Rattus norvegicus: one gene and its partners. The protein of the gene in region 1 interacts with the protein of each later gene in a pairwise test. Links are inferred from orthologs where the notes say so. Each region holds a gene or a part of one and is shown in the gene's direction. Other genes may lie near its edges.

Evidence for each region.
Region 2: the proteins of Rassf5 (region 1) and Btrc interact in binary tests that used the Homo sapiens proteins (3 or more experiments, as listed by UniProt). The two-hybrid records come from large-scale screens. The link is inferred for Rattus norvegicus from reciprocal best matches to the Homo sapiens genes RASSF5 and BTRC.
Region 3: the proteins of Rassf5 (region 1) and Smad4 interact in binary tests that used the Homo sapiens proteins (3 or more experiments, as listed by UniProt). The link is inferred for Rattus norvegicus from reciprocal best matches to the Homo sapiens genes RASSF5 and SMAD4.
Region 4: the proteins of Rassf5 (region 1) and Mylip interact in binary tests that used the Homo sapiens proteins (3 or more experiments, as listed by UniProt). The two-hybrid records come from large-scale screens. The link is inferred for Rattus norvegicus from reciprocal best matches to the Homo sapiens genes RASSF5 and MYLIP.
Region 5: the proteins of Rassf5 (region 1) and Ubqln1 interact in a two-hybrid assay, tested with the Homo sapiens proteins (3 studies listed by BioGRID and IntAct). The link is inferred for Rattus norvegicus from reciprocal best matches to the Homo sapiens genes RASSF5 and UBQLN1.
Region 6: the proteins of Rassf5 (region 1) and Stk4 interact in binary tests that used the Homo sapiens proteins (3 or more experiments, as listed by UniProt). The link is inferred for Rattus norvegicus from reciprocal best matches to the Homo sapiens genes RASSF5 and STK4.

What each region holds. Positions count from the first base shown.
Region 1 is NC_086031.1:45,252,478-45,256,743, reverse strand, and holds the start of Rassf5 (ras association domain-containing protein 5), read left to right. Parts: upstream 1-1,466; 5' UTR 1,467-1,594; coding exon 1,595-2,036; intron 2,037-4,266. UniProt on the Homo sapiens protein: Potential tumor suppressor. Seems to be involved in lymphocyte adhesion by linking RAP1A activation upon T-cell receptor or chemokine stimulation to integrin activation.
Region 2 is NC_086019.1:254,319,864-254,323,363, forward strand, and holds part of Btrc (F-box/WD repeat-containing protein 1A), read left to right. Parts: intron 1-2,782; coding exon 2,783-2,944; 3' UTR 2,945-2,975; intron 2,976-3,500. UniProt on the Homo sapiens protein: Substrate recognition component of a SCF (SKP1-CUL1-F-box protein) E3 ubiquitin-protein ligase complex which mediates the ubiquitination and subsequent proteasomal degradation of target proteins. Recognizes and binds to phosphorylated target proteins.
Region 3 is NC_086036.1:69,539,685-69,543,184, reverse strand, and holds part of Smad4 (mothers against decapentaplegic homolog 4), read left to right. Parts: intron 1-3,164; coding exon 3,165-3,377; intron 3,378-3,500. UniProt on the Homo sapiens protein: In muscle physiology, plays a central role in the balance between atrophy and hypertrophy. When recruited by MSTN, promotes atrophy response via phosphorylated SMAD2/4.
Region 4 is NC_086035.1:19,511,672-19,515,917, reverse strand, and holds the start of Mylip (E3 ubiquitin-protein ligase MYLIP), read left to right. Parts: upstream 1-1,446; 5' UTR 1,447-1,672; coding exon 1,673-1,759; intron 1,760-2,867; coding exon 2,868-3,058; intron 3,059-4,246. UniProt on the Homo sapiens protein: E3 ubiquitin-protein ligase that mediates ubiquitination and subsequent proteasomal degradation of myosin regulatory light chain (MRLC), LDLR, VLDLR and LRP8. Activity depends on E2 enzymes of the UBE2D family.
Region 5 is NC_086035.1:6,442,940-6,447,239, forward strand, and holds the start of Ubqln1 (ubiquilin-1), read left to right. Parts: upstream 1-1,500; 5' UTR 1,501-1,666; coding exon 1,667-1,819; intron 1,820-4,300. UniProt on the Homo sapiens protein: Plays an important role in the regulation of different protein degradation mechanisms and pathways including ubiquitin-proteasome system (UPS), autophagy and endoplasmic reticulum-associated protein degradation (ERAD) pathway.
Region 6 is NC_086021.1:173,166,778-173,170,791, forward strand, and holds the start of Stk4 (serine/threonine-protein kinase 4), read left to right. Parts: upstream 1-1,214; 5' UTR 1,215-1,267; coding exon 1,268-1,302; intron 1,303-4,014. UniProt on the Homo sapiens protein: Stress-activated, pro-apoptotic kinase which, following caspase-cleavage, enters the nucleus and induces chromatin condensation followed by internucleosomal DNA fragmentation.

The sequences.
Region 1 (4,266 bases):
CCAGCGGGAGAGGCTGAGGAGCAAGGAAGGGAGGGGACTCCCTGGTCACTGGACTTTCAGCTACTGCCTAAATATACCTTCCAGGGGAAAAGCGAAAGTGAGGATTCCCCAGCCGGACACTAGGGGGAGACCCATCATTGGCCTGGAAAGAACCCTGGAGATTAAAGTATAGGCGAATTTATAGACAATTCCAGGTCTGGTTTCAGAATCCCCACACACTCTATACAAACACCATTGCTCCCCGTACCCAGTACCCTGAGGATTCTCATCTCTTTTATAAAGTAGCTTAGTGCTCAGCGAGAACCTATGCATTTTAACCCCGTCTATATTAAACACCCGGTACTGTGCGAGTATATCTGAATCATCGCTATCCAGTGCTATTTAATAAACAATGAGGAAAAAGCGTGTATATGTTCACTGTAGACATGCCCCCACCCCCAATATTTCTACCAGTGGTTTGTTGAAACCCCAAATATGGAATTTTTAAATGTGGTGCAGTGACTCTCTAGTCCCAAAGTTGCTTGCTGGTGACTGCCACTAAATCAACCAAAGCTGTTATTTAAGGGGGAAAGTGTGAGCGAGGCCTCAGTCAGAACCGCAGAACTGGAAAGAGCAATGGCGCCTGCAGCTACCAAACCAGAGCGTAGAGGGCCAAGCACCCTTGCTAGCCTACGGTCGATCGGGGACAGGTTCGAAGACCCACAGTCCCACCTGCTCTCTTTCCCGTGGGACAGGACTGAGAACGGGCCCGCTAGTCATTACCACTACATAATTTTCAAGACCCAGTGCAAAAAGAATAGGCCGGGTCAAGAATTAGGATTTTCAAGATGGTGGCCACATACATAAACCTTAAGCCAGACAGGAACCTATGGCGCACCCCTTGGTGCTGGCAGGATGCGGACTTCTCCACCCCGCACCCCTACTCAGGTGAACCTTGCATACCGGGAATAAAAGAGGTGTTTAGGGGATTGGTATTTATTTCCGCAGTGGTTACTCCAGCAACTAAGGGGGTTGGGGGCAATTCGGGAGGAGAGTTCCTGTCCATCCATGGGGCACAGAGGTCCCTCAAGATCACCGGATCACCAAAGGTCACCAGTCACTCTAACCCCAGTCTTCGAGGAGGGGCAGCCTCTGCAGCAGGGGTGAGAAGGGAGAGCTGATGTAGCCAGTTTCCCAGAGCGGCCCGGAGAATCCGCGGGGCGCCTTGCTGACAGCAGCGGGCTCGCTCCCGCTCCCGGGGCCCCACCAGGGTTCCAAGCCCTCCCTTCCCACCTGCTCCCCGCCCCGCCGGTGTTAGGGCGTCCTGGGAGCTAACCAGAGGGGACGGGGCAGGGCTGGAGACAGAGGCAGAAGAGCTGGCGCCCACCGAGCCTCGCGGATGCTCAGACCTTCACCAACCCCCTAGTCCCGGAGTCGCCTCTAAACCCATGCGGCTCGGGCCCGCAGTCACGCGTGTTGCCCTTCCGGCCTCTCCGTGGGCTCCGCCCCGCCCCGCCCCGCCCGCGGGCTGCGGGCCCTTTAAAAGCGCGCTCGGCCGGAGCCGCCCCTTCTGTTGGCCAGGCTCTGGAGCTGCTGCCGCCTGCGGGCCTTGGCCATGGCGTCCCCGGCCATTGGGCAGCGTCCCTACCCGCTGCTGCTAGACCCCGAGCCGCCGCGGTATCTGCAGAGCCTGGGTGGCACCGAGCCGCCACCGCCCGCCCGGCCGCGTCGCTGTATCCCCACGGCCCTGATCTCCGCGTCCGGGGCGTCAGAGGGTCGCGGTAGCAGGAGGAATGCCCGGGGGGACCCGGAGCCCACGCCCCGGGACTGCCGACACGCTCGCCCTGTCCGGCCCGGTCTGCAGCAGAGACTGCGGCGGCGACCTGGGTCGCACCGACCCCGCGACGTGAGGAGCATCTTCGAGCAACCGCAGGATCCCCGCGTCTTAGCCGAGAGAGGAGAGGGACACCGTTTCGCGGAATTGGCGCTCCGGGGTGGCCCGGGCTGGTGTGACCTGTGCGGACGAGAGGTGCTGCGGCAGGCGCTGCGCTGCGCTAGTGAGTGAGGGCGGGGGAAGGTGCGCGAGGTGAAGGGCTGTGAGCCTGGGAGAGGAGGCCATTGCCTTTTGTGGCCAGCCCGAACTTTAGGCAGGTAATGTTGGAGACAGTGCTGTCACTGCCTGGCATCCTCTAATGGCTGCCCACTGGCCAGAGGTGGTTATATGTGTACAGTTACGTTGTCCTCAGACGGGTACGAGCCTTCTACCCTGTGCATGCAGGCAAGCTTGTTTGCAGGTTGGGATTTAATGGTTCTCCACAAGGTCATTCGGTTGTCTTACGCAAGTTCTCTTCTTCCTTTAGTTGTAAGTTTTTAAAATTGGGCACTGATATTGATAACGAAGTATTTGACCCTACTTATTAGAGTTAATGGGGAAATGACTTGTTGGTCACCTCAGGGTTTTCTCAGGATCTTCTCCTAGGGAGCTGTTGGCACAGGAAGCCTGGCTAGGCTTTGAATGGAAACAGGCTGTGAGACTGAAAGATGCCAAGGTCACCTGCACCTGAGCCTCCTCAGCCCGCCACACCTGGGTCCTCAACCCTCTGTACTGCATATGCTCCAGTGTTTGATGCGCCCAACCTCCTCCTCCTCCTCTTCCTTCTGCACTCTTGCACCCATCTTCCAGCTCTAAGCTCCCTGCCCGTTCCTTCCACAAGGAATCCCCACTGATCTGCTGGCTTCTCCCAGTCCTGACTGAAACACTGGACACCAGGGTAGAGAATTTCTGAGCAAATCTGCACCCTTTTGAAGTCCGTGTCTCCCTGTAAGAAGTCTCCTCCCCACCAACCCAGGGATCTGCTGTTGCCAGAGGATACTCATACCCACGTGCTTACATAGCTACTCTGAGCATGTGAGGCACACGGCGCAGTGACGGTTTCCAGCAATCATCTGTGGATTTCGGCCACATCTCTTGGTTAAAGGGCCTTTCTCCTACCTTACACCCTGTGCCTCCTTCAGACTGCAACACTGGACAGCAGCAACTAGCCCTACCCTCGCTCCCTCTCAGCAGCTCCAGGAAGTGTGAAAAGGGAAAGTGGGTGCTCTTCTCCCCACCATGAGCATCCTTCCCCCCATACAGGTGCCTGTTCAGGAGATGGCTGGGCATGTAGAGTCCTATGCCTGTGCTGTGTGTGCGCACTGGCTGCTGTCCCTTGTAAATGTTGCTGACCTGCAGAAGAGTCCAGTGCAACTTACCTTTGGATACGCTGCTCGCCCTTCCTCCCTCAGTCTTCTGGATGCTCCCACTAACCCTGTACTCAGGGGAAGAGGCAGTGGCTTCGCTGTTACTTATGCTCAAATCCCAGAAGCTGCATTGTCTGTGAAAATATGCTGGTTGTAATCCTTGCCTGTATTTAGACTTTGGGGGACCGACAGCTTTATTTACGCCGAGTTTTGTGCTATTCTTCTGGTTAGCGATGATGATGTGTTGGTGGGTTTCTGTGGGTATCGGTGCAGTACTCCGTGACTAAACGAGCATCCTCATACCACATTAGAACTGTTTATTTCCCTTGCTCCGTCCCTAAACAGTTCCTAGCACTTGGAAAATAGAAGCCACAGGCAGGGCCTCTGACCTGCCACTTGCTGGGGTCCTTTCACTTTCTTGAGTTCCTGTAGCCTCCTCGTAGTAGATTTCATACCAGCCAGAGACGCGGGAACGCCGAAGAGGCAATAGCGCTGGAGTCAGGAAGGCCACAGAAAGGAATCTCTGTTTGTTGTTTTTAATATTTAACTAACCGTGAGTGTTCGGCTGACCAGGAGAAAGTTGAGACATGTTGGTGCGCAGGGCAGACTCACCAGGCATCTGGTGTTAAGCTGAGGTCTGGCTCTCTGAGAGGGTTTGTTTTATTTTCATTTTTGAAAAGCGTGGGTGGGGGGGTGTCAGAAAAGGGAACTTTTAAGAGGTAATCCTGCTGGGAAGGCAGGGGACAACTCAACTGGCAAAGCAAGCATGAGGACCAGAACTTGATCCTGAGAACCCATGTTAAAAATAAAGAAAGCAGACACAGTGGCACATGCTCGTAATCTCAGTGCTGGGCAGAGTCCTGGCCGGCCATTACTGGCCAACCCTAGCTACGTGTGCACATAGACACACACACACACACACACACACACACACACACACTCACACGCTCAAACTGGAACCGAAGTCCTGACTTTGAATCCAAAATGTCACTTAGTCTCTGTGTGACCCCATGACTCTCTCTCTGTTGCCTTCCCTTGTCTTTAAAA
Region 2 (3,500 bases), on another chromosome or scaffold:
CGTTTCCCTCTACCTTTATGTGGGTTCTAGAGATTGATGTCAAGTCACTAGAGCTGCAAGGCAAATGTTTTAATCCACTAGCCATCTTCCCACCCTGTTGTTGCCCCTGCTCGAGCAGAGCATAGACTCGAGCTTACTGTGTACCTGAGGTTGACTTCAACTGCAGTGGGGGTGATAGGTACAGTGTAGAAGGCTGATTGAGCACTTGAAGGTTGGTGTGCTGTGGTGCTGCAGCTTACAGTGCAGACCTTTTACATAGTAGGCACTGGGCTGTGTGCCCAGTGTTCAGTTCATGGCACCCATCTCAACAGGCAGGCTCCATGATTACAGTAGCACCAGATCAGCAAAGGATCTGGGTTTAATTCCCAGCACCCACGTGACAGCTCACAACTGTCTGTAACTATTTCCAGGCAACACATAATACAAACAAAACACCCATACACATAAAATAATTTTTTAAAAAAGTCATTTGTCAAAATCCAGTGCCTACCCATGGTAAAACTCTAAGCAAGCCAGGAGAACTTGCTCAACTTCATAAAGAAAACAAACTTAAACACTTAATATCACTGTGGAGATTAAGCTAGGGTTTGAAAGATTGTCGTATCACTGATGGGAAAGCTTCTGAACTCTTGTCAAGTGGCACCGCTTTGGAAGCTTCTTGCAAGCATCTACCAAGGACACCCCTCTTCTGTGGCCACACAGTTCTGCTGCTCGAGAAGTGAGTGCATATTTCCAACAGAACCATGGAGGCTGGAACAGTGGTTCAGCAGTCTTGAGCAATAGCCATTCTTACAGTAGCTCACAAGTAGCTTTAATTGTGGGGGCAGAGGGCAACCAGGGAACTGTGAGCACTGGACAGACACATGGCACACAGAGAAACACGTAAGCAAACGCATACAATAATAAATGTTTGAAGTGTTTAGAGTTAGAGACTGAATCTCGAAATGTAGTTCAGGCTGGCCTCAAACTGGTGATCCTCCTGCCTCGGTTTCCTAGGGCTGTCATCATGACTGTGCACCATCACAGCAGCTCTGTCTCCATTCATTTATTTATTTTTGTTCTTTGGCGGTTTTGAAAGAGGGTTTCCCTGAGTCCCGGCTGTCCTGGAGCTCACTCTGTAAACCAGACTGGCCTCAAACTCACAGAGATCCTCCTGCCTCAGCCTCCCGAGTGAAAGCAGCTTTGTTTATAATAAAAAAGAAAAGTGAAAAGTCCATATGTCCATCAACAGGAGGGTAGACTAACTGTAGTATAGCCATACAGTGGGATATTAGCCACTAACCTTTTAAAGGGATAAAATAACTTTTTACTTGTAGTAACAAAAAAGGAAAAAAAAACCATTGTTCTAATGTTTGAGTAAAATAAGCTAGGCATGGGGCTGGAGAGATGGCTCAGCAGTTTAGAGCACTGACTGCTCTTCCAGAGGTCCTGAGTTCGATTCCCAGCAACCACATGGTGGCTTACAACCATCTGTAATGGGATCTGATGAAAGCTACAGTGTAGTCATATATATATACATATATATACACACATATATATACACATATACATATATATACACATATATACATATATATAAATATATAAATATATGTTTATATATAATGTAATTATATATAAAATAAATCTTTAAATCTTTAAAAAGTAAGCTAGGCACAAACATACGTACACACTCATATATACTACATGTGTGTGTTTCTATGAACTCAAGGGTAGGTAGTAATCAGTGATGGCATTGGAGTGCAGGAGAGACTGAGAGACTGACTAGCAGCAGTGGTTGAAAGTCCTTTCCAAAACACCTGATTTGGGCAGTGTTTGCTCCCCTCATGTGCTAAAGTAGGCCCTGACCTCATGAAAGCCAACTATTAAAATTTTGCAAGTTGGCAGGCATAGTGGTGCATGTCTTTGATCACGGTACTCAGGAGACAGACGCAGGAGTACCTCTGTGTTAAAGACCAGTCTGTTCTACAAAGCAAGTTCCAGAACAGCCAAGGTTGTTATACAGAGAAACTCTGTCTCGAGAAAAGCAAAAGACCCAACAACAACAAAAAAGAATTTTGCAAATTGTCAATCATATGTGGATGGCTTCAGATTGGCCATGGTAGGACTTTGTGCGTCATGAAAATCTATAAACGGTTCTTCAAATTAAGGAAGTTTTTTTCCCTAAGATTTGTTTTTATTTTATGTCTATGGATGTTTTGCCTGCATGTATATCTGTACAGTACAGTGTCCTCGGAGGCCAGAGGATGTCAAAACCCTCTGGAACTGTAGTTACAGATGGTTGTAAGCTACCACGTAGGTGCTGGGAATCGAACCTGGGCCTCCAGCTAGTGCTCTTAGCTACTGAGCCATCTCTCCAGACCCTAGAAGGTTGGTTGGCATACATCTGCCAGCATGCCACTTCTTCCTGCTACTCACCCCTTGACTTCTGATGGTCAAGCAAAGGAATTTGCATGGAGATAAAACAGGGAGGTTCCAAGGAGCTCTCTCTTCCAGCCCAGTAGGTACCAGGGAGGTGCTAACGAGCTCTCTCCTCAAGCCCAGTAGACTGTGACAAACCAGCATCTTCACTGCCTTTTTGCCTGGGCTAAGCATTGCTTCCTGTGTTCCTGAGATCAGCTGTTGCCCAATAGTTGAGTTTTCCATTCTAACAAGGGTGACTGCTTCGTGTCTGTGTGTAAAACAGTGAAAGAGCACATCTGAGCCTCCCATAGGCTCCTGCAAACAAAGGGGCTTTGATTTTAAGTTCAAAGTCTTACTCTCTTTGTTTCTGCCTCTTTAGGAGCATTCTGGAAGAGTTTTCCGACTCCAGTTTGATGAATTCCAGATTGTCAGTAGTTCACATGATGACACAATTCTCATCTGGGACTTCCTAAATGATCCAGCCACTCATGCTGAACCGCCCCGCTCCCCTTCTCGGACATACACCTACATCTCCAGATAAATAACGCGACACTGGCCTCATAATTGCCCAGGTATGAGAAGAAGCGTACAGGCAGCACTGTGTTGGCTGTGGGTGCTGTCACTCTCGGAGGGGTCTCATTCTCCGACTTTCCCCCAACCCTGTACACAGGAAAGCAGAGCTGACAGCCCAGTGAGCACCACTTTCACCAAGTAGCCAGCTGCAGTTCTAGAAGATTCTTCTTATATAGCAGTACTAATTGTAATCGTTCCTTCAGTACAATTTTTATGAAAGTAAGAGGACATCTGGGCCAGTTTGAAAACTAGTGAGCCCTAGCCTGTCATTTATAGCTCCTAGATCAAGACCTACAGGGAAGACCCTCTCCATCTAACTCTTCTAGCGTGACTGGAGACAGCTCTAGCTGTGTTATGCCACGGACGTCACACAGCTCTGCCTTGTTGGTCTCACTGGGAACAGAAAGTGGCTTTCTTGTCTCTACTCTCTGCTCGTCTACAGAAGAACACCTAGCTTGTTTGGTCAGCCCCAGCAGTTATCGTGAACTTGGTCCTTGCCACATCTCTAGCGCCTCTCAAAGGCA
Region 3 (3,500 bases), on another chromosome or scaffold:
AATAAGATGTGATGGTGTGTTGGCTTGACAAGGAGTAGACGACTTGTCTTAGCTATTCTTGATGGTCAACTTGATTATATCTGGATTTACTAACATCCCAAGCCTACACTAGGCATACCTGTGAGGGGTTTTTACCTAATTGGATCATTTGAGGTAGGAAGACCTATTTTAAATGCAGACTGCTTGAAGTTGGAAGACCCACTTTAAATCTGACTGCACCTCAGGGCAGCCTATACAAAGGCACAAAGAATGTTTGTCTCTGCCTTCTTGCACACTCACTGGCAAGTTCATAGATCTTGCTGGTGAGGGGACGCAGTCCTTCACTGCTGCCAGAGCCGCCTCCTCCAGGATTCATGTATACTGAAGACTGCTGAGACACGGAGTCTCGTGCACTGAACCCATGCTGGATTCTTGGACTTTCCTTCAGGAGACAGCCATTGCTGGACTAGCTGGACTGCATTCTGTGAGCCACTCTAGTAAACCCTTTTTATCAGTTCTAGTCCTGTAGAGAACTGAGTCTTTTTTCATGGACTTAAAAAGTATAGACTGTATTTTTTAATTGGTTTTTTTAATAAGCAGCATAATTGGTCCATAAATGAAACAATATAGAAAGGTGTCTGGTGAAAGCTGGCTCCCAGTGCTCCCATCTCTGCTTGTGTGGTCACTTGGTTAGGTCCTAGTGTTTGCTTCCAGGGCGTCTTTATTTTTCATGCAGAAAATACATGCATTATTCCCTTTTTTATATATAAAAATCACAAACTGTGAACACTTCTGGGCCTTGGTGGGTTCTTTTTTTAAAGCAAGTATGTATGTGCATGTGGATGCATGCATTCCTGTGTGTGCACACACACACATGGGTGCATGCATGTGATTACTTGGCATCATTTCTCTTACTGTGAGTTTCTGGAACCGTTCTCAGGTGTCTAGCCTTGGTAGCAAATCATCTTCTGAGCCCCTAAATCTGTGTATCACCATAGTGTTTTGTGACTTGTTTTTTTTTTTCTCTAGGCTGGCAGGACTTCCAAACATACTCCTCCCTCCCTCCCTCTTTCCCTTCTTCCTCCCTCCCTCCCTCCCTCCCTCCCTCCCTCCCTCCCTCCCTCCCTCCCTCCCTCTTTCCCTTCTTCCTTCCTCCTCTCCTTCCCTTCTTTCTTTGCGCTTTTGAAATTTTTGGCAATTTATTTCTATACCTAAAAGTCAATGGAAAACCATTACTAATTCTACTAAAATAGACTCAGCATTTTAATTGAAAACCATAGTATAATTAAGTATAATTAATGTACCATATTCTAAAATACAGCTTGAACACATGCAGTATACTACTTAATTTTGGTGCAGTGGATTTGAGAACAAGCATATATTGTTACAAGTATTATGGGTGGATTACAGCTTATCACAGTCATCATTTCTTTGTCTCGAAAAATCTATTAAGTCTTTCAGAGGAGGAGACATCAAAGATTGGTCAGCAGACACTGTATTGCCAGTGCACATCTGCATAAACCGTAGCTTCTTGGCATGGCTTGAATACATTTTAGCATCATCTAGAACTGTGGTCACATATTGGAAGGCACACTTCAACATCTGATCATAGCTCTGGGCTCATAGTCTGTAAGCCCCATATCCCTCACGACTTGTGCTAGCATCTGTCCATTTTGAGCAGCCATCTTGTCAGACTCCATGATAGATGATGATCAGGCTTTTGGTCTTGATGTAAGTTCTTTCCTTAGCATGGTTTTTCCAACCCATGGAGTACCTGTGAGCAGTCTTTTCTCATGTGCCTAAAGTGTATCTTTTTTATGTTTGTCAAATCAATTAAAGGATAAGATGACTTTAATAATATGGCCGACAACCTAACACAGCTGAGAAAAGTTCCAAAGCTTACTGAACTCTCTCCTACATTTTTAACCCAATAAAACTCTCTGTAGTTCCACAGATAAGACCTACCATTTCCCTAATGTTGTGGTTCCTTTGGCTACAGCCCTCAGACTTGCAGGACAGGCAGGAGGTATGGCCCTCAGACTTGCATGATGGGCTTGGGCTATTTCCTCCTTGAATTTAATATCCTTGACTGAAGCAGGACTGTTAGAGAAATGATGAGTTCTCCTGGAGTGGACAGGATGGTGGCCTATGCTGAGGACCTTTTACTGACCTTTGATTGGCTCACCTGGCACCTCTTGAAGGTTGTTGGAACTCCGGCTTTCTGTAATGGCACTTACCGAAAGCTTTGAGATCCTCAGCCAAGTGGCATGTAAGAATGCTGAAAGAGCGGGGGATTAGGATCATATTGGGGAACATGGTCTCCTGTCACCTGACAGGCTTCCTCTTCAACCTGGAGTAGAATAAGCAGGAGTCAGTAGTCAGTGATCCATGCGGCTTTAGTGTGGGTGTTGCCAGTACTGTGGTGACGTTCCTCTGCTCATATTTACGAACACTTGGGCCATGTCAGAGACAAGTTGATTATCCTTCCTGTCTTAGTTTTGGTACTTTGGATGCAGAGCCCCTTGTCTGGAAGTTGGCTCTTAAGTTCAGCTAATTCAGTGGTCACCGTGTTAAGATGGTGCTTCTGCTTGCTGATGTCTTTCCATGTGGATTGCACTATCGCTTCAAGTGAGTCAAGCCTGTGAGAGATGGAGGAGTCATCGATGGACAGCGTCAGACTGAGTGCCTGCCTGTGTGCTTGTAGACTGACTCGGTATCTTTATGTTGGTGATCGTGAAAGAGCACTGGCGTGTGTGGTTTTAGGTGCCTTTTCTCAGGTGTGACAGCAGCACTGTCTCCAATGGCTTGAGGATGAGGTTAAACGTGGGAAATCCTCAGGGAGGCAGAATTCTTCTTCACCAGGTGAAGGCATAGACACATCCTATGTCTGATGGAGGGACTGAACTCATTTTGCTAGGCATTGGTTTTTACTTATTTAGATGATTATGTACTTCTAAGTTTGTCAGAAAACTGAAGAATATGTCTTCAAATTTCAGTGAGTCAAATTGATAAAATCTCTAATGTAGCTATAGCTGAGAAAATGCTTTTCTGCAATATGAAAAGCAATTCTGAATGTGAATTGATATTATGGTTAAGTTTTAGATACTGTCATATTACTTGGTATGTAGTTTTTTGTGTGTGTGAAAATGGAAGAATATAAAAATGTGTCTTTTCTTTTTGCATAGCTCCACCAAGTATGTTAGTGAAGGATGAATATGTTCATGACTTTGAAGGACAGCCATCCTTACCCACGGAAGGACATTCGATTCAAACCATCCAACATCCACCAAGTAATCGCGCATCCACGGAGACGTACAGCGCCCCAGCTCTGTTAGCCCCATCAGAGTCTAATGCCACCAGTACCACCAACTTCCCCAACATTCCTGTGGCTTCCACAAGTGAGTGTTGCAGTCAGATAGAGTCGTAAGTTTTCCTAACCATGGGATATGTATCTGTAGTCACTTGGAGCTGTTGTGGTCTTTCTGGTGCTGGGTATGGTATGGAGCCTGATACATGCCCGG
Region 4 (4,246 bases), on another chromosome or scaffold:
CCTGCTGCCTGGAAGGAATGAGCCGTAGACCGGTGAATGAGTGCAAGCATGCACTGGTTCTGCAGTGCAGGAACTGTAACGTGTTCACGAAACACAGCGCCATGAGCTTGCCCTCTCCGCGAGGGCTCTGTTAAGATCCCAGTCCTTTTTTAATACTTTTCCCCTCATCAGAAATACATATCACTGAGCCCACGTATGAGGTGCGCCACTAGCTTGAGCGATACAGCAAGACTTCGTCTTAGATACACGGCAAACAAACAGGACAGAGATAGGGTCATTGGCAGGCAGGGATGGCTAGATTGCTTCACAGCAATGCTCGGGGAAGGTCTAAAAGATAGCTAGTCTCCATTCTACTGTGAGGACATTGAGCTTCAGAGAGATGAAGTTGTCCAAGGATCCAAGGCTGAAACCCACATTTCCTGGTTTATTTTACAAACCAAAAGGAAGAGAGAGAGAGAAGTGGGGAGGGAGGTAGGGAGAAAGGTACGGAGAGAGGGAGAGGGAAAGGGAGGGAGGGAGGGAGGGAGGAGGAGGAGGAGGAGGAGGAGGAGGAGGAGGAGGAGGAGGAGGAGGAGGAGGAGGAGGAGGAGGAAGAAGAAGAAGAAGAAGAAGAAGAAGAAGAAGAAGAAGAAGAAGAAGAAGAAGAAGAAGAAGAAGAAGAAGAAGAAGAAGAAGAAGAAGAAGAAGAAAGACAGTATAGGCCAAGAGAAACAAGTAGTAAATATGAAGATTTCACACCTTTAACTACTAATCTCTTGTATTGCGATACTCTTCCTGCTAGGTCCCAAGATAAGCCTGTTACCTTTAAGATGGGGTAACATCTGGTTGTCTGAAAGAAAGGACAGGGAGTGTATCTGGTATATTGCAAATGAATTCGATGAGAGATAGGATGGGTAACATAACTATTTAGCAGAACCCACGCCTAGAAACCCTTGGCACGTGTTAATGTAAAGAATGGTGCTTGGATCAAGTTACCGGCTTATTATGGGTCAATTGCAAAAACTTTTCTACTCAAGAGTGTTCTTTTGAGAACTCAGAGGCAAATCCTAGCGGAAAAGCATCAACTTTAGGCTCTGACTTGCTCAAACCACCGGGTCATTAGAGTAACCCCACGCAGGAGTCCTGAGAACCGTGGCATCGCAGGAGCGTTTGATCACAGTACTCTCAAACCGGGACAGAAAGGCGTCCCCTGGAGCTGCGGGCGACAGCGGGCTGGGAGGAGCGTCGCCCAGTGGCAGAGGCCGCGACGGTACCCGGGGTTGGGGAGAGAACTGGCTCCCACCTCCCGCAGCTCCACAGGCGGTGCCGGGAGGCGGGGCTTCAGCTATTGAGACTGATTATTGGCTGCCGGAGCTGGGGAGGAGGGGCAAGCACGCAGTGATTGGTGAAGACCGGCGCCGGAGGGGCGGGGCCTCTATAAAAGACGAGTGCCTGTAGCGGCGCTGGCAGTGGGGCTGTCGGAGCGGCGCGGCCGTGTAGCTCCCGGGAACTGGCTGTCGTGGGGGGTGGCGGGGACGCGAGTGGCGGCTGCGTGGGGTGCAGGGCGGGTGACCGCACGGCTGCACCTTCCTCGCGGTGCCCGGAGCCGACTTGGAGCAATTGCAGTGAGGCGACAGCCCCGGCGCACACCGGAGAAGAAGCGGCCGTGGCGGCGGTGGCGGCGGCCCCAGCCATGCTGTGCTATGTGACGAGGCCGGACGCGGTGCTGATGGAGGTGGAGGTGGAGGCAAAAGCCAACGGCGAGGACTGTCTCAACCAGGTGATGGCAGTGATAGGAAAGGGGATCCCTGCTCATTACCGGGAAGCCTCGGGGCTCAGGGATGCTCCTCCGGAGCCGGGCGACGTTGCAGCGGCGGCCCGTAGAGCGCTCCCGGGATGCCAGGCTTCAGCCTCCTCCTCCCTGCCAGCTTGGGGTGGGGGGGGGGGCATAGAGGACGCTTACGGTGGGGGAACCTGGGCCTGGAGACCAGGACACTGCCGGAAACCTCCACCCTGTCTCCTAGCCTGGCACTTTTCTCTAAAGAAGGTGGCAGGGCACACCTGCCGCAGGTGTGTGTATGTGATGCCTCCCGTGGAGTCCTTGCAAAGCCCGGCAGCGCCACCCGCGTCCCGGGATGAGGTGGCTGCAAATGGTCGCTGGCCCCGGGGTTCCCTAGCTGACCAGGTGAGCCCTTGTCTCAAGCTGCTTCTTAGAAGGACTGTTCGTTCACCTGACACACTCCAGGTTTGCTGGGGATCCAGAGTATGCCCGAGTAATTTGCGGGGGAACGGTTCTGCCGGCAGTCTCCTGCTTGGGGTCTTTACACGTGTGTTTTCTTAAGAGTGACTAAGGCTCTTAACAGTGTGTGCATAATGGGTACAGCAGACCCATTTGACCCCTGGAAACACTGTGCCTTCAAGACCTGTAGACCTGAGCTATTTGGAGAGCTGTGTGTAAAGCTTAGCTGACACTTGTGGCATGCTTCCTCAATGCGTTTGTGTTTTTGGAATCCAGATGGTTAAAACTGTCCAGATAATAAGCTGCCGAATCAGCTGTGCAGATGGTGCTGGTGGAGGGAATTGCAGCGATTGGAATAAGAAATAAAATACCCTGTGGGTTCCTCTTCCTCAGCCATTTGGGAAATCTGTTTGGGGGGACTCCTTTCTCTGTGCAATTGGTCAGACCCTAGAAATAATCGAGCAATGCGAAGCCTCCATTGGAGAGCTGCGTTTTGGCTTTGCTGATACCTTAAAACCTTGTTTTTCCGGTCTACCACTGGCATTGCAACAAGGTAGAACTTTAGAAAAGTGGTTGCCAGCCCTTCACTCAGATGTTTGCATTGGGTTTGCATTGCTCATCTCCCCATACCTTTGGTTCTGTTTTTTAGGTGTGCAGGCGATTGGGAATCATAGAAGTTGATTATTTTGGGCTGCAGTTCACGGGTAGCAAAGGTGAAAGCTTATGGCTGAATCTGAGAAACCGGATCTCCCAGCAGATGGATGGGCTGGCACCTTACCGGCTTAAACTGAGGGTCAAGTTCTTTGTGGAGCCCCATCTCATCTTACAGGAGCAGACAAGGTAAAGCGAGGCGGAAACAAACCAATGTCAAGTACACCTCTGATTCCATTTAGAGGCAGCTATCCTGCCCTCCCAGAGATGTCCCCTGGCAAATTTGACTTGGTGCAGAGAAAGTTCTGGAAAAACTTAAATTCGTTTTTCGAAGCACAGTTGGCCTGGGTGGATTTTTTTCTCCAACACCCCGCTCCCCTCCAATCTGTATAATATTAGTGAGAGAACAGGGCTGACTTCGTACAAACAAAAAGAAAACCTGACACCGACTTCCTGACTGCTTCATCTAATGCCCGCGAGTAACCCCGCCTCAGCAGTGTTACTACAGGTCACTGTAGACTGTTCTAACCGAAAGCAGGAAACTGTTCCTCTTGGGTTGCTTAAACTTGGTCAATCTTCAGCCTAGTGTCAGATTACAGTGTGTAGCGGGAGTGCTCTGTCTGGCCTCCTGCAGATTTGAAAACTTTTTTAAGTTTCACAAAAAATTAATAAAAGGACTCTTTGAAGGCCACTGTAAACTGAATTCCACCCTACAGATATATTAAACATGATTGATTGTTGGGCATGAGGTTTTTTCTCCCCCCTCCTTGTTAAACGGAGGGCCCCCAGCCTTGGTAGACAACTGAAGCCTGTGGGTGTGGCCTCCTTTTTCAAACGACCAAAATACATGCACACACACACACACACACACACACACACACACACACACACACACGTTTCCCTCTGAGCTGACTGTAATACTTTTCTCAAAGATGAACCAAAATAGGAAGGCGGGGTTTAATATTTATTACTGAAATGCAAGAGACTACAGGAAAAAAAAAAAGAAAGAAAATGATTGCTTTTAAAACCACAGCAAACTCTGGATCCCAGCACTGATGTTTTCCATACTCCTGTGGCTTGGAAGTGGGCCACGCATGTGAAAAATGTGATCTTGTAGATTTCTACTCCTAATGGGGGAACAGGCTCCTCAGAGAGATTTTAACATACCGGTTTTTGTTTATTTACTAGACAAACAATGGAAACATTAAAAAATACCGTCCATTTGGGTTTGGAATGTCCACGTTGCCTTACCATGGTATTTTAAAGGTTGGGAGAGATTTTTGTTTACAGACAGACAGACAGACAGACGAACAGACCAACCGATCTGGTTTGTGAAAGCTTCCTTAGTTCAGTAAGTGAGAAAAATACATGACACAG
Region 5 (4,300 bases), on another chromosome or scaffold:
ATTCCATACAAACATCAGTAAAGGTTATCTACAGCCGCTGTATTAGAGTAAAGAGATCGGGTTTCTAAAGGGCAACAGAATGAAGACTTCCAGGAGGTGGGGGATATGATGTGAGATCACAGAAAGTTAGGCAGGGAAAGGTGTGAGGGGGGCGGAAGGGGGGGATGTCATCATAGAAGGCAGCCTAGGGAAGTACACAGGGAGAATACAGCAGGAAGGAAAACCAGTCAACAGAGGAACTAATGAAGTTGGAAGGAGATTTTATATATATAAACATGAGAAAATTCCAAAATGCTTGCTTGCTCAGTGGTGGAACTTTCTACCCCAAGAACTAACAATTTTCTCACACCTAGACATAAAGCTTGTAACTTCTTCCTGTGATCGAACAACGCTGACAGAAATGTAAGTGATATCAAGTGACACTTGGGTCGCCATTTACCTTCGAAACTCTGACCCAGATTTCAAAGGGCTCTGCTAAGAAGTGTTTATGCAACAGTAGTTAATCATAGAACAGGGTTTGATGGCCTAAGAGCAGAACTATGGAATGTCTTTGCATATTAGGGTCACGGTACACTGTCAGAGTTCACGTTTGTGCAATGTTGATTAACAAAGTGCCGGACTGTATTACATGCTATCTTTGCGAATAAAGGATGTGGGAGTCACTTGTGAATGACTTATTTGTGCCTACATTATGCTGAAAATAAGTTTTCAACCATTATCCCTGATGCGAGCTGCACAGTAACGTAATGGGACAGAATACAAAAGGCACACATCAGCTGGGCTTAACTCCTACCCGTTGGGTGGACAGTCCTAGGCATTCTGTTTCTGCCCCCACGCAGCTTGGAAGACAGACAATATGGGTTGTCCTGTCTTCTGACCAAACCTGTTTGACTCCATGGAGGGAAGCTCTGGCCTCATTGAAACAGTGAGCGCCTGCGGTTGCGCTGGTGGCTCACTGGCGTCTGTTTCGTGTTCCTTTGAAGACCTTTCACCATTGGCTTAGCTTCCAAGCCCTGAGCACAAGACAAGGCAATCGTAACTCCTTCCACCCGGGCAAACACTACGCTTATTAAAATAAAGTAACTCGCCGCTATTTTATAAGCCAACGCCCACGGGGACCAGGTCGGGAGGATACCGGGACCGAGAGCAAAGGGCCAGACGTTTCTAGCAATTTCGCTGCCCGTGACGTCATCTTAGTGCACCATCATGGCGTCTTCCATGAAACCCCTGTTTAAATGCCTTTCAAAGAAGAACGGGAGACGCGAAGTGGGTTAAGTTCCCCCGCTGTGCCCAGCGCTCCTTCGACCTGGAGGAGCCCGCGCTTCGTCCGCCGGCTAAGAAAGGAACGAGCGCCGCCAGGCCATGAGTCGGCTCCTTCGCCAACGCGCTACCCGGCGTGCCTCGCGCAGCCGGCCGCCAGGAGTCGGCGCCGCGGCCAGCGCGTTACCCAGCGTGCCCCGCGCGGCGCCCGGCGACGAGCGTGGGGGAGGTGCGGGAGGAGGAAGCGGCGGCGACGCGGAGAGTCCCCGCGTCCACACGGCAGCCGATCGCCCACCGGGGCCTGCACCCGCAGCCCGCGTCTACGCACCGTCGGTGGCCCCGCAACCTGTCGCGCCCCGCGGACCCGGCCGCAGCCCCCAGTGTCGCGCTCGCCTGAGTCACCGCCATGGCCGAGAGCGCAGAGAGCGGCGGCCCACCGGGCGCTCAGGACAGTGCGGCCGACAGCGGCCCCGCAGAGCCCAAGATCATGAAGGTCACGGTGAAGACGCCTAAAGAGAAGGAAGAGTTCGCTGTGCCCGAGAACAGCTCGGTCCAGCAGGTGAGGGCGCGGGCCAGGCGGTCGCTGCGTCGCCGGCGGGGCGGGGAGGGCGGCGAAGGGGCGGCCTGGCCGGGCGGCGGCCCCGGGGAGCTCCGGTCAGGTCCCGCCGGGTTCCGCTGCGTGAGCTGTGCGGGGCCGGGACGAGTGAGCCGCGCGGCCTGGGCTGGGCTGCGCCGCAGCCGCCGAGCTCCGGGCCCCGGGACCCCAGTCCTCACAAAGGAGCCGGGAGCTGCTGGGAGGCAGGGCGCGGGCGTCGCTCGGCCTTTGACCAGGCTGGGTGGGGGTCATTGTTTTACCTGCCTGGGAATTGGAGAGGTTTGGGGGCGAGAAGCACGTGGAGGGCTAGTTCTCGGTTTTGAATGCTGAACTCTCCCCCACCTTTCAGCCTTTTATTATAAAAATTATGACGCGGAACTTGTTTTCAGTCACACTGTACTAGCTCACGCCTGAAAGGAAAAAAGTAAATGACTTTTTGATTCATAGGCGACTTGCTGCTTCTGTGAACAATACTTCCGTCATCGCTTAGCTGCCACTCATTGGATAGGTTTTTGTTTGATTTTTTTAGGGAGATGAGAAGACACCTGACTGGGTCTTAGCGGTTGCAACGGACCGCAAGGAAACATGGTTGATGTTAAGGCCGATAATTGCCTTAAAGTCTATTCAGGAAAACAAATCTTGCAGCTAATTAAGAGCCTTGGTAGAACCTATCAAATGTAGTTTTCAACACGGTCTAGAGCATTTGAATTGTTGACAGTATCAAACATTGTAAACAGTTTTATGCGAGGAAGCAGGGAACAGCCACTGGAATGTACCTGTAAGTTCTCTCAAGGCTTATCTAGTTCCAAAGGTGAAGTCGGTTTCTTTTCTGAAGCAAGAGGATGTGTGGCACATTGAGAGAAACTCTGGTTGACTGAAGCATCATTCCTTGTGCGTTAACGCTGCTATAAAAAAAAGTTTACCGTCTTTATGTTTTCCAGCAGGTGTGTCCGTCACCCACAATTGACATTTTCCTGCGTTTTCTGTATTGGGCATCTCTTACTTCTAAAATACACTTACTATTAAAAATACTGCAAATATCAGTATTACCCTTATAAGGAAGGTAAGCCACATAAATATTAGTGGCTTGAGAACAACGTCTTTGAAAAATGGTATTCCACATGATGAGAGGCGCAGTGATACGGACATGGTTGCCTTGGCTGGTTTCCCCAGCTCCATCTACACCTGTGTCAGCCAAGCAGGCCATAGTGGAGCCTGTTAGAGTGAACTACAGGCTTCCTTCCGTTCCTCTTTTTGTCACCCCTGTAAGGATTGTTTTTCCTACAAGATTGAGTTCACAGAGACCTAGTTGTCTCTCATGTGGTCTTCTGGATAAGGCTTTTTTTCTTCCTCCACTCAGCATAGTTTTTGAGATTCATCCCAGTGAGGTCTGTATCCCTCCCACGACAGAGATTTGCATACTAGGCACAGGCTTCATTCTACCACTGAACCAAGTCCTCAGCTCAGTACTTAACTGCTGAGTGGTTTTCCACACCATGAATGTGCCGTCACCTGCCCAGGGTCATCTGTTTTCAGCTGCAGTTCTTGTGAAGAGCCTCAGGAGTCCTTTTTGAGGCCATATGCTCTGTTATTGTTTAGTTGCTTTTGTTTTTATTTAAAAGACAGGCTTTCACTCTGGAAGTTTGGCTATCCTGGAACTCACACTGTGTAGACCAGACTGGCTTCAAATTCATCTGCCTTACTCATCTGAGTGTTGGTATTAAAGGCATTCACCACCATGCTCTGCCAGTTCTGTTTAGTTTTATAAGAAACATGAAAAATGTGCTATTTTGCAGTTCAGTCTACATCATATGGGTGTGTGCTCCTTCCTTCTGTCTCCTTGTTAATATTTGGTACGAATAGGGTTTTTTCTTTTTCTTTTCTTTTTAAAGATTTATTTAGTGTGTGTGAGTACACTGTAGTTGTCTTCAGACACACCAGAAGAAGGCACCAGATCCCATTACAGATGGTTGTGAGCCACCATGTGGTTGCTGGGATTTGAACTCAGGACCTCTGGAAGTGCAGTCAGTGCTCTTAACCACTGAGCCATCTCTCCAGCCCTGGTTTTTTTTTTTTTTACATTGTAACCGAGTAATGAATGTGTGGACATACTAAATTATGAAGCTCTTGAGTCTTCCTGAGAGTCCCAGTTTAGATTTCCATCTTCCTGGCAGCTTCCACATTTTATTTCAGGACATTAGAAATAATACTTTATAAATAGAAAAATTATTTAGGTGATTATCTATAGGGTTTTTTTGGGGGAGTGGGGAATAGTGACACTAGAATTTTAAATTCCGTGGAAGCTTATGTTTTGCTGTGCTGTAAAAATGTCTTTACTGGGTAAAAGTAAAGCTTTCCTAAAGTAACTTATTCTAATGTTGGTTTATCTGTTTCCTGTGGGAGCAGTAAATGTGATAAAAGTTGAAAGCATACCCTGTCCCCCCA
Region 6 (4,014 bases), on another chromosome or scaffold:
GAGTCAAGATCTTCCACTGAAGCTGGCTCTGGTGGAGTATGCCTTTAATCTCAGCACTTAGGAGGTAGAGGCAGGTTGGTTTCTGAATTCGAGGTCAATCTGGTCTACATACATGTTCCAGGCCAGTCAGGTATATATACAGATGCTGCCTCAAACAAATTCCTACAAACCCCATACTAAAAATATACCCCCTGTCCCCTAAAAACAACAAAACAGAACTGTGTGGCTGTATGGAAGGAGCTACAGGAATCTGTGAGTTTTATTTTTATCTGCCAACAATCCTATAGTTCAGCTTGGAGCTGAGTCTTGAAGGTCATTTTTGGACTAAAGTGGGTCTGCCCGTTTTTGGGGTGTGCCAGGTCCAAAGGGAAACCACCACCCCACCCCCATTTCCTTCCCAAAAAAAGGGCAGGCATGTGCTGAATATTGAGAGGGTAAACAAAAGGATTGCTGGTGGATAGATCGAGTATTCTTCTAGAAACTGTTGGTTTCTGTCTCCCAATAGGTGCCATTCCATTATCTTCCTCGACTTCCTCATGGCTGTCTATTGAGACATAGCTGTGATTACATATCAAAGCCCAAGCTAACCTGCAGGCTCATTGGGTCCCTAGTAACATGAGCATCCTAGCCTTCCTTACCTCCTCTACCATACTCTCAGGCGGTTCTAGAGTATAACTAGTTCACTCCCCTCCGCAGCAGTTATGGTATAGCAAGGTCCCGACCTGCTATTCTCTCTTCGCTATTTTCTCTGCCCAGAAGATAAATCCCTGGCTTTGGCCAGCCTGTTTCTTCCTCTCTGCTCAGGAGTCTTCCAGATGCTGTTTGTTCTCTCTCATCTACAATAAAACCTCACCAGTCGTGGAGCAGATATTTCTGTGGTTTCTTTACTACGCTCTAGCTTACAGAGTACTTGGGGCATTTCCCCTTGGCTCTAACAAGAACTCAATTCTTATCAAGCCCATGCTTTGCTAACAGCCTCACCGCCTGAGAAATTGGAGAAACCTCAGTTAGGCTTGAGAGTATTCAGTCCAAAGGCAGGTCAAGGAGAGGGTGACGCTAACACTTGAGCACTAGAGGCCGCCCGAGAGGAAATTCTTTGGTCTCAGACTTCTGTATCCGCCCGCCACTGTACCACGTGACTCACGCCGATCAGCCCGGCCTCCTCTCGCTTCCGGTAGGGGCGGAAAGCGGAAGTGTGGGAGGGTTTGCGGGGCGGGCTCCCAGAGGATGGAGCATTGAGGCAGTCTGGGCGGCTGCTGGCAGCGCCATGGAGACCGTGCAACTGAGGAACCCACCGCGCAGGTGAGGGGCCGTAGGCTGAGAGGAGGAGAGTTGGGTGGGAAGGGAAGGCGCGAACTTGCTCAGGGTAGACCCCGGCGTGCAAGCTCCTGCCGGGCGGAGAGGGACCCGCGAGGCTGGGGACCCGGCTGCAGGAGCACCTGCTGAGTGAGAGAGCATCCGCTGGCCGGGATAGAAGTGGTTGTGGTTAGAGAGAGCACTCTCTGGGCAACGTGCGGACAAGTTAGGGAGACACCAGCAGAGGCCGGGGAAAGGCGCCCCAAGAAGGATCTCGTGGATGTAGGGGCGAATGCTGAGGCCGGGTGAGAGCGAGGACTTATTGAGAGTGTCCTAAGTACCACAGACCGTGCGGTGGTAAAAGGTCTGATGCTTTGCTCCTGAGGCAGAAGTCGTTAGAAAAATTGATTGGAAGTCTCATAGCCAGTAAGAGGAGGAGTGGGGTTTTGTGTCCTGTCTAAAAAGTCATTGCTTTTAACTGCCTTACTGGGGAAGTACCAATGCTTCGTGGTTCTAGTAATGGAGAGAGGGTTATGGGGGAGTGAGTTTCCAAGGGTTTTGAGGGTGTCAACCTCATGTAGTAGTGGTGATGGTAATTAATGGCTTTTATTACTGATGTCCTCCTGAGTGTCTGCCTAATTTTCTTCAAATCCTCCCTAGTCTTCCAACACCCAAAGTTGGGACGTCGATAAGGGGGTGGGGTGGGGTGGGGAACCGGGGTTGTGTAAGCTGAGGTCCAATAAACAGTTTAGACACAGTAGGTTCAGTCAGACTTTGTCCTTTTCCAATTCTGTTTCGATACTCTCAAGTCCAGATTCTGGAAGTATCTAGAATTGTTTTGTGTTAAGATGAAGGTGACTGACTTTAGGAAGTCTCAACTCCTAAACGGGCTGTTGGTGCGTTGGACCGCTGCCCCTCACCTGGAGGAAAGAGCGTAGAGCCTGAGGGAGTCATGCTTCTCTCAGATACAGCCAAAAACTTGGGTTTCACAGAGAAGACGTTTGACTTCCTGCAGCAGAATGAGCACTAAAATAGGAAGTGTTCAGAGTAAGGGAGTGCCCCGCACCCGAGAGGTGAAGGGAGCAGATTGAAAGCCTGGGGCAGCACCCTTGGTGGGGGTGGGGGTGGGGTACATGGAATCAAACAAACGGCTTTTAAGATGGGCTCAGGTTTGACTTACTGTGGTGTGCGAGGCTCTAAAAGCAATAATTATTAATTACAGCCGGAGAGTGCTTACAGGTCGGCAGGCACTGTTTTAATTGCTCTCCATCTCTCCTCTTCAACCATACGAAATTGCTGGTGTTTGACCACTTCTGAGCTTGTAGAAGTGGTACTTTGAAATGGTACACCTTACTGACGCAACCGGCCTTCACGACGATCATAGGAGGAGGATATCCTTGTCTCCTGACTGTACAGATGATGAAGCCAGGGCACAGGGAGGCAGGGCATTTGTTAGCTGCCCCATAGTCAGAGGCGCAGTTGGAACGTTAATGTCTGGTGATCTAATCTTAACACCCTTGTTCTTGCTTCCCTACTCTGAAGCCTCTCTGGAAGTTACCTGTTCCATTGGGTCTTTGTGTATACACATCTTAGCAGCTTGTTACTCTATGTGTGCAGTCACCGCTAGACCAGTGCATTGTCTTTGGTTCCTTTCCCCCAAAACCTTCATTTAATTAAAAGGTTTTTTCCCTTTGTGTTTGGTGATAGTGGGTGGGGTGAATTTTTTTGTTTTGTTTTGACTTTGCTCATTACTTGTTGTCTTTCTTTTTCTTTTTCTTTTTCTTTTTTTTTTTCTGAGACAGGGTTTCTCTGTGTAAATGTTCTGGCTGTCCTGGAACTCACTCTGTAAACCAGGCTGGCCTTGAACTCACAGAGATCTGTCTGCCTCTGCCTCCTGGCTGGACCACCACAGCCCAGCAACTTTCCTCATTCTTACAGCGTTTGGATTTTAAGAACTGTAATAGAGTGCAAGAGAAGAGTTTTGCAGGGTCGATTTGGTGCTGTTCTGTTCTGTATTTTATTCTCACCGGAATTAACTGGTTCAGATTACTGTAACAAGCACCACACCTGGATGGCCTAAGCAACGGAAATTAATTTAATTTTTTATTTAGTTGCCATTCTGGAGGCTGGAAGTTGGAAATCAGATGTCTTTGGTTTACAAACGGGCACCTTTCCCCCACTCTTCATGTGCTCTTCGTTCGTATCTCTTTGTGCCCTCATCTCTTCTGATTTCAAAATGGCCTATCTCCAGGTACAACCTCATACTCAGAGGTTCTCTGAGTTAGAATCTTAACAGTCACACGAGGGAGGGGCACAGTTAATTCAGTTACCCTTTTTGTTTATTTTGAGACAGGGTCTCACACAGGTGTCCTCAAACGCTCTACAGTCCTGCAGCCTCCAGCTGCCTGCCTCAGCCTCCCGAGTGCTGAGATTACAGGCAGAAGCGACTGGACTGACCACTCTGTTATTAAGATGTTCCGGTTATCTTTTATAGCAGTAATCTGGAACATTCTGCTAGAGGAGCAAATGTACGTAAATGCATCGAGCCTCTGAGCGTTCTGACATGGGATGGTCGATTGAAAATGAGTCATCTGCGAGGTCACTTTATGACAGCTCGTGTTCAGAAAAATACAGATGTCTTCTTGAGAGGTTCGGATGGTCTGTGCCCCAACTGTCTCAGTGCAGGACATGCTCTCTGCAGTCATTAGCTTGACGTTT